Drosophila melanogaster: one gene and its partner. Changing the gene in region 1 together with any one later gene gives a genetic interaction. Each region holds a gene or a part of one and is shown in the gene's direction. Other genes may lie near its edges.

What was found. Genes that interact genetically often act in the same process or in processes that back each other up.
Region 2: of trx (region 1) and Abd-B, changing one suppresses a phenotype caused by changing the other (phenotypic suppression), as found in Drosophila melanogaster (one study listed by BioGRID).

The regions. Positions count from the first base shown.
Region 1 is NT_033777.3:14,283,871-14,288,663, reverse strand, and holds the start of trx (trithorax), read left to right. Parts: upstream 1-1,760; 5' UTR 1,761-2,455; intron 2,456-4,793. UniProt on the Drosophila melanogaster protein: Histone methyltransferase that methylates 'Lys-4' of histone H3 (H3K4me). H3K4me represents a specific tag for epigenetic transcriptional activation.
Region 2 is NT_033777.3:16,928,204-16,935,819, reverse strand, and holds the start of Abd-B (abdominal B), read left to right. Parts: upstream 1-1,577; 5' UTR 1,578-2,788; coding exon 2,789-3,449; intron 3,450-4,206; coding exon 4,207-4,418; intron 4,419-4,502; coding exon 4,503-4,704; intron 4,705-5,967; coding exon 5,968-6,182; intron 6,183-6,239; coding exon 6,240-6,431; coding exon of another isoform or gene 6,432-6,590; 3' UTR 6,591-7,616. UniProt on the Drosophila melanogaster protein: Sequence-specific transcription factor which is part of a developmental regulatory system that provides cells with specific positional identities on the anterior-posterior axis.

The DNA.
Region 1 (4,793 bases):
GTATGTACCCGCAAACTTGTGATAATCATTTAAGCAGCTCTCTCTGTTTTTCTGGCACTCATCTTGATTATTAAATGATAACTGGATGACGGCGACAGGTGCACAAGTACAATGATTATCAAGCTCCTCGCGTTTTCTATTAGGTTTTATTGTTTTTTTTTTCCCGAGTTCGTCATAGGATTAATTAGCATGCATGATAAGCCCACGATCTGTGGAGGAATCCCTTTTTCAGCGATGAGCTGGAAATTTTCCAACCAACGCGGACGTCATCGTTTGCATTGCAGATTGCGGTAAAAGTTGAAGAACTATTTTTGGAAATCCGGTGATAGTGGCTATACGCCCGCTGCTTCTGCTGCTGCTGTCAAAACAAGACTTTCATTATGATTAGGCCAACGAATTCGTGTTGTTTGCGGCCCAGATAAGCGCCGAATGACTGTCACAGTACAAGGTAATCCATGTTAGATATACATATATTGTTATCGATACCCCTTATCACTGCGCACCTAAACGGACCGACTAACCATGAGGTGCGGAATGCGTCAGCTGCCAAAAACAAAGCTCGATCTGCCCGTGTTGCCAATAGCTGATAGTCCAAGTTACAAGGAGTTGATCAATTTGTTTATGTTTTCGTGTTTAATAGAAGGAATGCCAGGGAAATTGATTTAGTACCTATTATTAGCATTCATTTGAATTATTTCATTTACTAGCAATAATGGTTGTTATGATTATAGTTTCATTATTATTACTTTTTTTATTTTATTATATTATTTTGATAATATTTAGTTATTTATTATTTTTATTTACATAAGTAATTACTAAATTCAGGCCACAACTATTAACACGTCCTTCTTGGTGAACTTTCTATACTAATAAGGTTAATTGCAATGCCTTTTTGTGAGATAACATCTTCTGAATGTGGGTTACCATTTTTTGTCACTGAACAAGAAATTTACAGGCGCTCAGTGATTCAATTTCCTGCGAATTTTTTGTTCACTTCGGTGAAACGTCGTCGAAATGACGTCGATTTAAGCCACCGAATTACCGCCCTACGCTTCTCGCCCGGCAACAGTTGGATTTACATTGTGAATCAAATATGTGCTAATTGAGCGGACACGTTCGATTCGTTGACCAAAATCTATTTGTTTACATCGCGCCTTGCGAATGCATAAAGCCTTTGGGTGTCTTCCCAAAAAATTGGTTAATAACTTTGGCAAAGAACCAAATGCGAAGTGGACGCAGCTGACAAGTTGTTTATGTGTGTCCGCACATTATGGCTTCATTATGAAATCGCAACTAATCCGAACTTCATATACTGGCATAATGGAATTGCCAATGAGGTGATTGATATTTGCCACTTAGAATGTGGACTAGGAAAATCTCCTGTTTTTTAAATTGTTTACCGAAGCGGTTTCTTTTCTTTCCTTCTTTCCCAATAAGATACCGAAGGGTACTTAAAAATTATATTGAACGGAAAGTGTGATAATATTGGATATTCAAAAATTCAAGGTTAATGTGTTTTGTACACTCCATTCTAAACATTTTAATTACCACAAATTAAACAAATTAGCAGTTACACCGAAAGTGGTTTTAAATTTTGAAAAATACTGTTTTGTAGCAATACGCTTTTGTCTTTGAACTAGCAGAGACACATTCCGTATTTAACCAAGACACACACCCCGCAGAGCAGAGACACCCTACTAAAATATCGGTGTGACCAGGTCTGCACACACATGAATTTATTTGTAAGTCTCACAGTATTTTTTATAGTTATCGGCGCGGTCACACTGTCCGGTCGTTTTGCTTTGCTATTTCCATTTCGCTCGTCGAAAAAACGCAGAAAATGTGGAAAATAATTGATAAACTGTGCTAAATAGTGTGTGTGAATATGGTATGCAGTGTCTGCCAATGAAATTACATCGAATTTGTGGCGTTCAATTGTTAAAAAAGTGTGAAAATCGAGAGCAGAAAACCTGATTTCTGTGAAGAAGAAGCAGGCATTTTTCATCGTCGTAAAACCCATACATACAGACACCCGCACACACACACACGCGCATACGTAGCAACATATGTATATACGAAACGCGCGGGCGCGAGAGAGAGAACGAAATAGCAAGAGAGCGGGCCATTTCGGTTCGTGTGTGCGTGTACCTGTGCGTTTGTTTTGTGAGCGCAGAGCGACAGAGTGAGAGAGCGGCGAATGTGAGAGCCAAAGCAAAAACCAAGAAATAAGTGAACGAAAATAAAAACGAAAATCGCAATCTCCACCCCTGTATTTTGTGTTTACTAGTGTTTTGAGTGCGTGTGTTTCTGTCCCGTTTTGTTGTGAAATTGTCCCAAGTGTGGATTATTTTCGTTTTCGTATTATATTCGTGCACCAAGGATGCCAAATGGTAACAACAACCCCTGAAACGGTATCGAATCTCAATCTGCATCTGGATACACGCTCGACAGCAAGGTAATTATAAGATCGCCGCGATAAAAGGCGTCGCCGGCTGCCGATGAGTCAGTCTGCCGTGAATATATATCAATGGATATTTGCGCACATATATAAGCATGCCAGATATTGATTTGGAATGCACCCGGAGATACTGTACACCATTGCACACCACATCACATTATCATATCCCATCCCGTCGATTTCATATTCATAAAGTCCCCACTAACCTTTGTAGACCTCTAGTCAGTAGTTTAGATTGTTGTTTTTAGCTAGAAAGAATAGGAAAGTGTCGTTCAATTATTCACTCGATAATGCAAATTAGGCTGCACAACAAATACTGTTAGTTTATGGCCCACGCTGCGATTTATGTCTACAGTGGGACCTCGTTGAGTGCGACTAGCAGCAGATGGTAGCATTTTTGATTTAGTTTTGTTCTATTTTGTAGTACTAGTAAGCAAGTCTTGTTTCTGGAAAACCTGTTGATTTAATAACAACTTTCTTAACAACGAATTCATTAGTTAATATTTTTATTTTAATCTAATACTAACAGTTTAAAGAGGAGGCGAAATATTTTTTGCTTAAAATAAGTACATCTATTATCATATAATCATATGACTCCTGAAGTTAATCCATCAAATATTTCATTCTTATAAGAAACAATATTATTCGTTTTCTGTTAGCCAGGGGGATTTTACTGCAAGTTTCCATCTACGACGTTTTCCATTATTTACCACCCGTAAAACGAACGGTAAATGACAGTCGCTAACACACCCACACACACAGCGGCGAGCTATAATAAAGCATCGCCGATAAATAAAACTTAATGTGTGACCAGTTAATTGCTTTTGTTGTCGCCTCATTCTAAATCAAATCACTCTCTCGCTCTCACCGTCTCTTTCTCTCTCTCTCTCTCTCTCTATTGGGCTCACATGGCCAAAGTGTTTGTATAACTAAAATTGCTGTTTGTTTTGTTGCTGGCGCTGTTGAAACTTTTAATAAATTATACAATAAAATGAAAAACGATCTCAGCAGCAGCAGGAGCTAAATCGATTGCCGCTGCCGTTCGCTGCCTAGAAGCTGTTGAATAATTACAAAATAAATATATGTACTTGTACATTGGCTGTTTGAGTATTTGTTGACGCCATTTTTTTATTTGCCATCAAAAAGGCAAATTCCAAATCGGCTAGTGTCGATGCCTGTGTGTTTGTGTGTGGGAAACTACGCGCCAAACAACATTGAGGCGCAAAATCGCCAAATGAGTAATTGCGCATATTAAAATTCGCCTTTCAAAAGTCGACCAACTGAGCCGTAAGCTAATGCGAGATCTTGAATGGGAATGAATATGCGATGCGGGCCAACCGATGCTCATCCGAATGCATTTTCACGCTCCACTGCGTCCGCATCTCGTCGATCACGCCTCACAGAATCATTGCACATTTGAATTCGGATGGGTCTACTCACAAATACAAATTTTAAGATCATTTGATGGGACATTTTCAACGGGTTTAAATTAAAATATCCTTGTTTACATAATTCCTATTGTAAAATCGAAAAAAGTCATTTGTTTATTTGTTCTTCTTCTCCAAGATAATCTATTTTCTAAAACATGAGCACTACAATGCTTCGCTTAGCGAGCGATCACTGTAGGTGTGATTTCTATTTGCTTCGGTGGCCGAATTATTAGTTTGCATTGTTGCTACCAGCTAGCTGTATTTACACCTTTATTTACAGTGCGTTTTGAGAGGCTGCAGCTGCCAGCTGAGTTGAATTTATTTTACCTTGTGTTTCGTTACCTTTTACCACCACCACCAACACACAGCATAAACACCACGAAACCAGATGCCCACACACGCAAACAAACATTCGCGTACAAGTATTTAGTTCATGTTTCGTGGCAAATTGGACATCAAAATTGCGAGCTGCCAAGTCGGCTCTCAATATTCAATGCCCAATGCTCATGGCCCACAGAGATACAGATATCCATCCGACCATCTCTATCCATCCATCCCAACACCAATCCATGCGGCACCCACACCACGACACCTTTCGCACATTTATTGGCGCGCACATTTTTCATGTTTCACCTTTGGCTGCGTGTTTTGATTTACAAGCAAATACGGTGTATGTGTGTGTGCACAAGCATACAAACATACACTCCCCCGCGTGTGCTCTCTGCCGCTCTTTTTGTTTTTGGGGAATGGGGCTCACGCTCATTTGTTGATTCCACCTCTACAGCTGCTTTCTCTGGGCTCTCTCATTGTTGTACTGAGAAAAATTTTGCGGTTAATGTTGCCAATTATTGATCAAATAATTATGTATTAATTCAAAGAATATTTAATAAGTGGAGTAGGAAAAG
Region 2 (7,616 bases), 2.6 Mb from region 1:
AGTTTATCCCTTTAAAATAATTCTGCGTGTTAGCAGAGTGGTTCAATAGGAAAAATGTCAATCATACTTTATTTCTATTTATAAATAAAAAAGTTGAATAATAATTTCAATCGAAGAAGTTATTTTTGGAAATAGATTGCGGCAGTTAATTACAAGTTTTGTATTATTATAAGTAGAATTCTTGAAGTTTTTTTGGGGTTTACTTGATCAACTTTGTTATGTAAGCAGTTGGACTCTTCAACTAAATGCGTGATGTGAAAAATTAAAAATGAATGTTCTGATTTCACATAAGAAATAATATTATTCGTCTCCAGTCGCGATGACTTCTGACATTTTCTTAAGCCCCTGCTCAAATGTATTATTGTAATTGCTAAGTATGGATTTTTATGCGATTGTACATACATTTTGTTGTCAAACGGGTTGAGAGTTGTTCTCATCGCATCCTTTTTACGATTTGTTAACATTTCCTTGGCCTCGACTGCGTGCCTTTTGCTTTTCTTCCAATGGCAATTGCCATAAAATTCCCATAATTGTCCATTGCAGCGTAAAATTTGGCAACTGCCTTTGGAAGTGAGACAAGGAGGGGAATCTGTAGAAGAGCCAAAAGGGAGAAAGGATGTTGAGATAGGGGTGAAAAGAGACCCGGGGTTTCCTAACAATTGGGCTGTCATAATTTGCTGACTGAACTGGCGCACGCATGTATTTGTTTAACTAATTAGCATTAATTAGTCACTGCGCTTGACGACTCGTATAATTGGTCGCGATCCATGGTCTTTATGCAGTGAGTTTTTCTGTATGTTGCTGCTGTTGTGGTAATCGATAAAAAGCGCCAACAACAAGCCAACTAACTACACACAATGTGGTGCCATCTACCACGCCTCCCCGCCCCCATTCCATCGAAATCTCGGACATAGATGGCGCTGTGGTGCGCGCGTGTTAAGTATTCAAATCAGCCCCCAGAATCGGGCAGTAAGAGCGGGCGGTGAGTCTGAGAGCGTTTTTTGTTCGTTGAAGAGCGGATGCCTTCACACGTACACTGTGCGTGTGTGTTTCGCCCTCGATGACCCCCTGTGACTTGGAGCACCTGCTGAGCTCAGCGAATTCCAGAGCCAGTCCCAGTCGAAGTGCGATACCATCTTTACCTCATTGAAGGCGCTAGTTGAAACAGTGCTATTTCCCCCAGCAACATCCAAAACTCTCTTCGGCTCCCCCCACTTACACACGCACACTCGCTGACAGTCTGGGATCCACACAGACGCTGTATACAGTGTACGTGTGCATAACGCGCCACAAGAGAGCCGCACCAACTGCCATCAACATAACATCAACCACCACCACCATCAATCTGAGTGCTTGTGCAACATGCGCATGTCCGCGCTCTCTTCCAAGTCACACGGACGGGGAGGCACACACACACACACACACACACACACACACACACACACTGGAGCGGGCTGGCGCCGCTGCGCTTAGAGTTTGTGTTCGTGTGCTGGTTCTGGTTCTGGTCTTGGTCTTGTGTTGTCGGTGTGCCGTGCCAGCGATGTGGATATGTTGTCGCCGTGCGCGTTGCTGCCGTCAGTGTAGATTTGTGCTTCGCTCTGTTCGGTTGGAAGGCGCGCGGGCGTCCAGCAGCAACAACAGCAACTACAACAACAGCCGAGGCAAGCGGCCCTGCAACTTCGTCGAGGACTGGGACTTGAACGATTTCGTACTCGCCGTCCATTCACATTCACATTCGACTGGGAGTGTTTCGTTCGAACGGTTCGAAAAATACAAGTTGAACATTTTCGAAAAATTTAACTGAAAGAAGAAACGTTTTTGGAGTCGTATAAAAAATTAAATCAAAAAACAAAAAACACAATCAAAACATCGTGTCGCCGGCGTTGTGAGGAGAAATAATAACATTTTTGTTAACTGTTGCAAACATTGCCTTTAATTGTTTGTTTTGGTCGTAAAATCAAATTTTATGACCAGCAACATAAAAAGCGAACGCCAGCAGCAGCAACAACAACGACTGCAGGCCCCACAAATAATAAACTATTTATGATAATTATAAAAGAGAGAAGAAAATCAAAAACAAACGCCAACCGAAAAAAAAAGAAAAGTGAAAAGAAAACATTAACTGACAAAGGAAAAATTGGAAAAGTTTTGGAAAATTGGATTGACCGAATGAAAACTGAAAAAAGCCAATTTGAAAATACTGCGTGAGTTGCTGACGACCGCAAGCACCCTGTGAAATTCAAGCTGATTCGATCCCCTGTGCAACAACAAAGTTACTCTCTTCGCCCGCTCTTTAGGCAGTGTGCGTGTGTGAGTAAGTCGGCGTGTGCGTGTGACCGCTGACGGACGTTTGTGTGCGTGTGCGGTACGCAAATAAAAGGGGCAAAACTCGAGTAAAGGTGCTCTGAATATTAAAAATAAAAATTATTAAGTCGCGAAAAAAATATAAAGAGACTTAAACAATTAGAAAGGCGTCACTCAGAGGAGTGAGAAAAAAAAGACAGAGAAAGGTCGGTGGGTCGAGGCGATCGACCCCACTGCACCGCCTTTATCCTCGCCGCCGCAGTTCGAGTGCAACGCGTCCAAGATAACCGTAAATATTCCACCCCTCCCCCAAACCCCAACCATCCCGCTGGCGTGCGCTCTCTACGACCCCCACGATGTCTCGGCAGTCGGGTCGCACGCCGCTGCCGGGGCGTGGTGGGGGCATCACACACACACCCACACCCACGTACCCACCGCCCCGCACCCGCATCCGCATCCCCAGGCGCATCCCTCCCTGCCCGTCATGCAGCAGCACCATCTGCAGCAGCAGCAACAGCAGCAGCAGCAGCAGGAGCAGCAGCATCTGCAGGAGCAGCAGCAGCATCTGCAGCAACTGCATCACCATGCGCACCACCACCTGCCTCAGCCTCTCCACACCACCAGCCATCACCACAGCGCGCATCCCCACCTGCAGCAGCAGCAACAGCAGCAGCAACATGCAGTCGTCGCCTCCTCACCCTCCTCGGTGCTCCAGCAGCAGCAACAGCAGTCAACTCCCACCACACATTCCACGCCCACGCATGCGGTTATGTACGAGGATCCTCCGCCTGTGCCACTTGTCGCCGTACAGCAGCAACACCTCCCCGCTCCGCAGCAGCAGCAGCAACTTCAACAGCAGCAGCAACAGCAGCAACAACAGCTGGCGACAACACCGGTGGCCGGCGCCCTCAGTCCTGCCCAAACACCCACTGGACCCTCCGCCCAACAACAGCAACATCTCACATCGCCCCACCACCAGCAACTGCCGCAGCAACAAACCCCGAACAGTGTCGCCAGCGGCGCCTCCTCGAATCTCCAGCAGCAGCAGCAACAGCAGAATGCTGCAGTTGCTCCTGGCCAGACGCAGATCGTTGCGCCGACCACGGCGAGTGTTTCTCCCTCCAGTGTTAGTTCTCAGAAGGAAGGTGAGGTCCCAGAAATATAACTTTCCTTGGGGTTGAAAACCAGCGGATTTCTTATTGGAACTCCATTGGTTATGGGCTTTCAAAGATCGTTGGGAAATATATTTTTTGAAATTTTCTACATCTGAACTGGAAAACTCTCGAAATAAATTGGGGACGTTAAATTGGGAACGGGGTCGTTCCACTTGTTTTTTTTTCCCCCCAGTTGCAATAACGTTTCAGTTGTGCTGATTGCAGCACGTTTTTCAAGGCTGATAAGGCTTTTCTTTAACTCTCCCAGGAATCGTCACGCATTTAATTTATTTACTCAAAATATTTGCGTCTGTTTTATCATTATAGACTATATAATTGCAGGGTGGTAACAACTTTAATTTTGTAAGGAAATTAAAAATTTTTAAAAATATTGTTTGTGAGTGTACTGAAGTTCTTCAAAACTGCATTGGTTTTTTTTTAAAGAGTTTACACAAAAAAAAAAATTAAACGATGATTTGAAACGTAATCGTTATGGTAACCATTTTATTACCTTAAGTGTTGACACGTGTTAAATATACAGATTTATATATAGACGAGGTGTGAATGCACCCACATCCATGACATCGACAAACAATCTAAGGGTTATAGGCACAAATGCCACGCCAAGTGATAAAATGCCAAATGATCAAGGAGGTCGATTTGATCATAGACAGTCGTTAAAATTAGACTTACCAGCCCTAGTGCCAATATTAACAGCAGCAAATCTGCGCTTATCGTTTACTTTCAGACATCAATATGTCCATACAATTAGCGCCACTGCATATACCCGCCATCCGGGCCGGTCCGGGATTCGAGACGGACACCTCGGCGGCGGTCAAGCGGCACACGGCACACTGGGCCTACAACGACGAGGGATTCAATCAGCATTACGGCTCCGGGTACTACGACCGCAAGCACATGTTCGCCTATCCTTACCCAGAAACGCAGTTTCCGGTTGGTGTAAGTATGGCCACAGCGCCACCCACGCCTCCACATCAGTTGTAAGCAACTTCGTTCCAACCCGACCTCATTTCTCCCCCGCAGCAGTACTGGGGCCCCAACTACCGCCCCGATCAGACCACCTCTGCCGCAGCGGCGGCGGCCTACATGAACGAAGCGGAGCGCCACGTGAGCGCCGCCGCCCGACAGTCCGTCGAGGGCACATCGACGTCCAGCTATGAGCCGCCCACCTACTCCTCGCCAGGCGGCCTGCGCGGCTATCCCAGCGAGAACTACTCCAGCTCAGGTGAGTCCAGACCGGCCAGAGTCGGCACACTTAAGGGTAACGAGGTTAGGCACACTGGAAATAATTTTGAGCATCTTGCAACTCTAGTTTGGGAGGAGAAATTTTAAAGATTAAAAATTAAAAATTTACTGTTTACAATTCTTAAAATTTTTAATAAAATATTTGGTTATTCATATGAAATTAAATTAAAGTGAAAAATTATACGAATTCAAAATTCTGTTTAAAAAGAGGCGTTCAAATTCCACCTAAATGTTTTTAATTGTAAAATATATATTTATAGACCGTCAAATTTTCCAATGAATCGATAATTATTTGGAAGTGTTTTTTATATGGTGCTATTATTTTTTTTCCTAAAAGCCAAGCCAATTATTTAAACAGCCCTAAAATATTAAGCATCCTACAATATAAAGTTCAAGATTATTTGATTTTCCTATGTGCACTAGACTTTTCGTCGTCGTATCGGTTGAAATAGCAAATTGCGAAACCGTCAAGTTTGTCGTTCAATTAGCGTAGTGCAAAACGGCCCATAAATCGATACTCGCTATTTGGCTAGCGTTACGCCTTTATGTGGGTGCGAAAGTCATTGGGGTTTGCATTCTATGGGGTTGCCTGTTTATGTTCGTGTCTTATCACCAGGTGTTTTTCAACTGCCAGAATTGTATCTGTCGACTAGTCATATTTTCCCAGTAGTATCCATGGTATCCATAGTAAAGACTCGTTATTATGGCGGAATATGTCAGTTAAGTGACCTCGCCAGCCAATTTTACAATTGGAATTCAGGTCTCTTAGGCTCGATAATTAATTTCCAATCTGACCTAACTGTCCTAACTGTTCAATGCTACCAAGACTAATCGAAGAAATCAGATTAGATTCGAAAAGCTCTTCACTCGTGCTGAACTAGCGTTTAAATTAAAATAAATCCAACTTGTCACTTTATTTCAACATTAATTTAATTGCTTCATTTGGTCGGCCAATGAGCGGGAACGAATGTATTCATTTAGTGTTATCCACTCGAGTGTGAATATGGGCCTCATGCCAATTCGGAGCTCCGCTCCCCGTACCGCACCAATTAAGAGGCCATAAATGAGGAATTGAATAATTTCGTATTACGCTTATTGCTAAACAATTTCCGTAATTGCTCTATAAACTTAACGATCTGATATTGCACCGAACACCGAGCAACAAAACCATCGGACCACCCGCACTTGCGGTTTAATGAAGTTAACCATGTAGTTTAACCCCATTACTTGATGATGTTTTCAGGAGCCTCTGGTGGATTATCCGTGGGAGCAGTGGGTCCTTGCACGCCCAATCCCGGACTGCACGAGTGGACCGGTCAGGTGTCCGTCCGGAAAAAGCGCAAGCCGTACTCGAAGTTCCAGACCCTGGAGCTGGAGAAGGAGTTTCTTTTCAATGCGTATGTTTCCAAGCAAAAGCGCTGGGAATTGGCCAGAAATTTGCAGCTGACCGAGCGACAGGTGAGTCCATAAACCTACTGACTTGAACTGAATTCATTAAACAGGCGTTCCTTTCAGGTCAAGATATGGTTCCAGAATCGGCGCATGAAGAACAAGAAGAACTCACAGCGCCAGGCCAATCAGCAGAACAACAACAACAATTCGAGCAGCAACCACAACCACGCGCAGGCGACCCAGCAGCACCACAGCGGCCACCACCTGAACCTTAGCCTGAACATGGGTCACCATGCCGCCAAGATGCACCAGTGACCCTTGGACAACAGCAGCGCTGGCGCCATGGGCTTTGCCACCTACTAGCAGTTAGCCAATCCGAGTTCGGGTAACCCCAGCTCGAATCCCAACCCCATGTCCGATCCGAATCACCATCATCTAATCAAGAACGAGCTGGCCATGGACTTTCCATGCTAGTCCAGCGATTGGAAGGGCGATTCCAGCCAGGCCGAGTTCAGTCGGTTAAATGTACAAAAACCAGAGATCTCTAGCATGCGGGATAGGAATATGTGACCACAATGAGGAGCAAGGATGTGGATGAGCAACTGCCCAGAAGTGCGCAGGCGTCGCTGATGTGTGACCAACCGACGTTGATGCAAATGCAGTTTATTATTAAGTCAGTTCTACGGATCCCAGAGATCCAAGCCCCAACACGATAATGCAGCTTAGTTCGGTAGTTGAATATAGATACGAGTAAGATGAAGAGTAAGCAGCAGCAGTAGCAGATGCACTTGAAATTCGCAACTGTACGAAAATATATGTATGTACGTATTTCTCTCAACGCTCTCATTAGCCTAGGCGAGCACTATGAATTTTCCGAACTATAAATTATGAATATGAATATACTTAAACGTCAGTGAATATAACCCCGCATAAATTATGAATACACGCGTTCGAGTAGTAGATTTTACCATACCTATCCAATTAAGAGCGGCCACAAGGCGGCTGAGTTAGGCTGAGCAGCAGAACACATTTTAGACCCAGATAAATGTTCTTGAAACACAAATTGAAATTGTTTAACAATTTTCGGACCCCTCACAGCTCCGCAAACAAGAAGACACACTCCGCAGTCTAGGATAAATTTTGTCGTATAATGTTCGTCGTGTCGTGTCCTTTGATACCTTCTAAGTTCCTGTATATAAACTAAGACATTGCGCTGATTTCCGGCCGAAGCGAGCACTCGATAACTAAATTACATCAGATATATGTATATGTATATTGCGTACACGCAGAGATATTCAATATTTGTATAATATGAACTCGGATTCGATTTTAGCAAATGGTTAATTGTAAGTTGCAAAAATTTCAATGAGTGTGTGCATGTTTACCCCATAGTTGAAGTCGCTTTCGAATTAAATTAACTCTTAAACCAAGGAAAACACTTAACAAAACTACTCGTAAAGCTAAAGCAACAAAAACTTAAAAGATACACACTTAACAGAA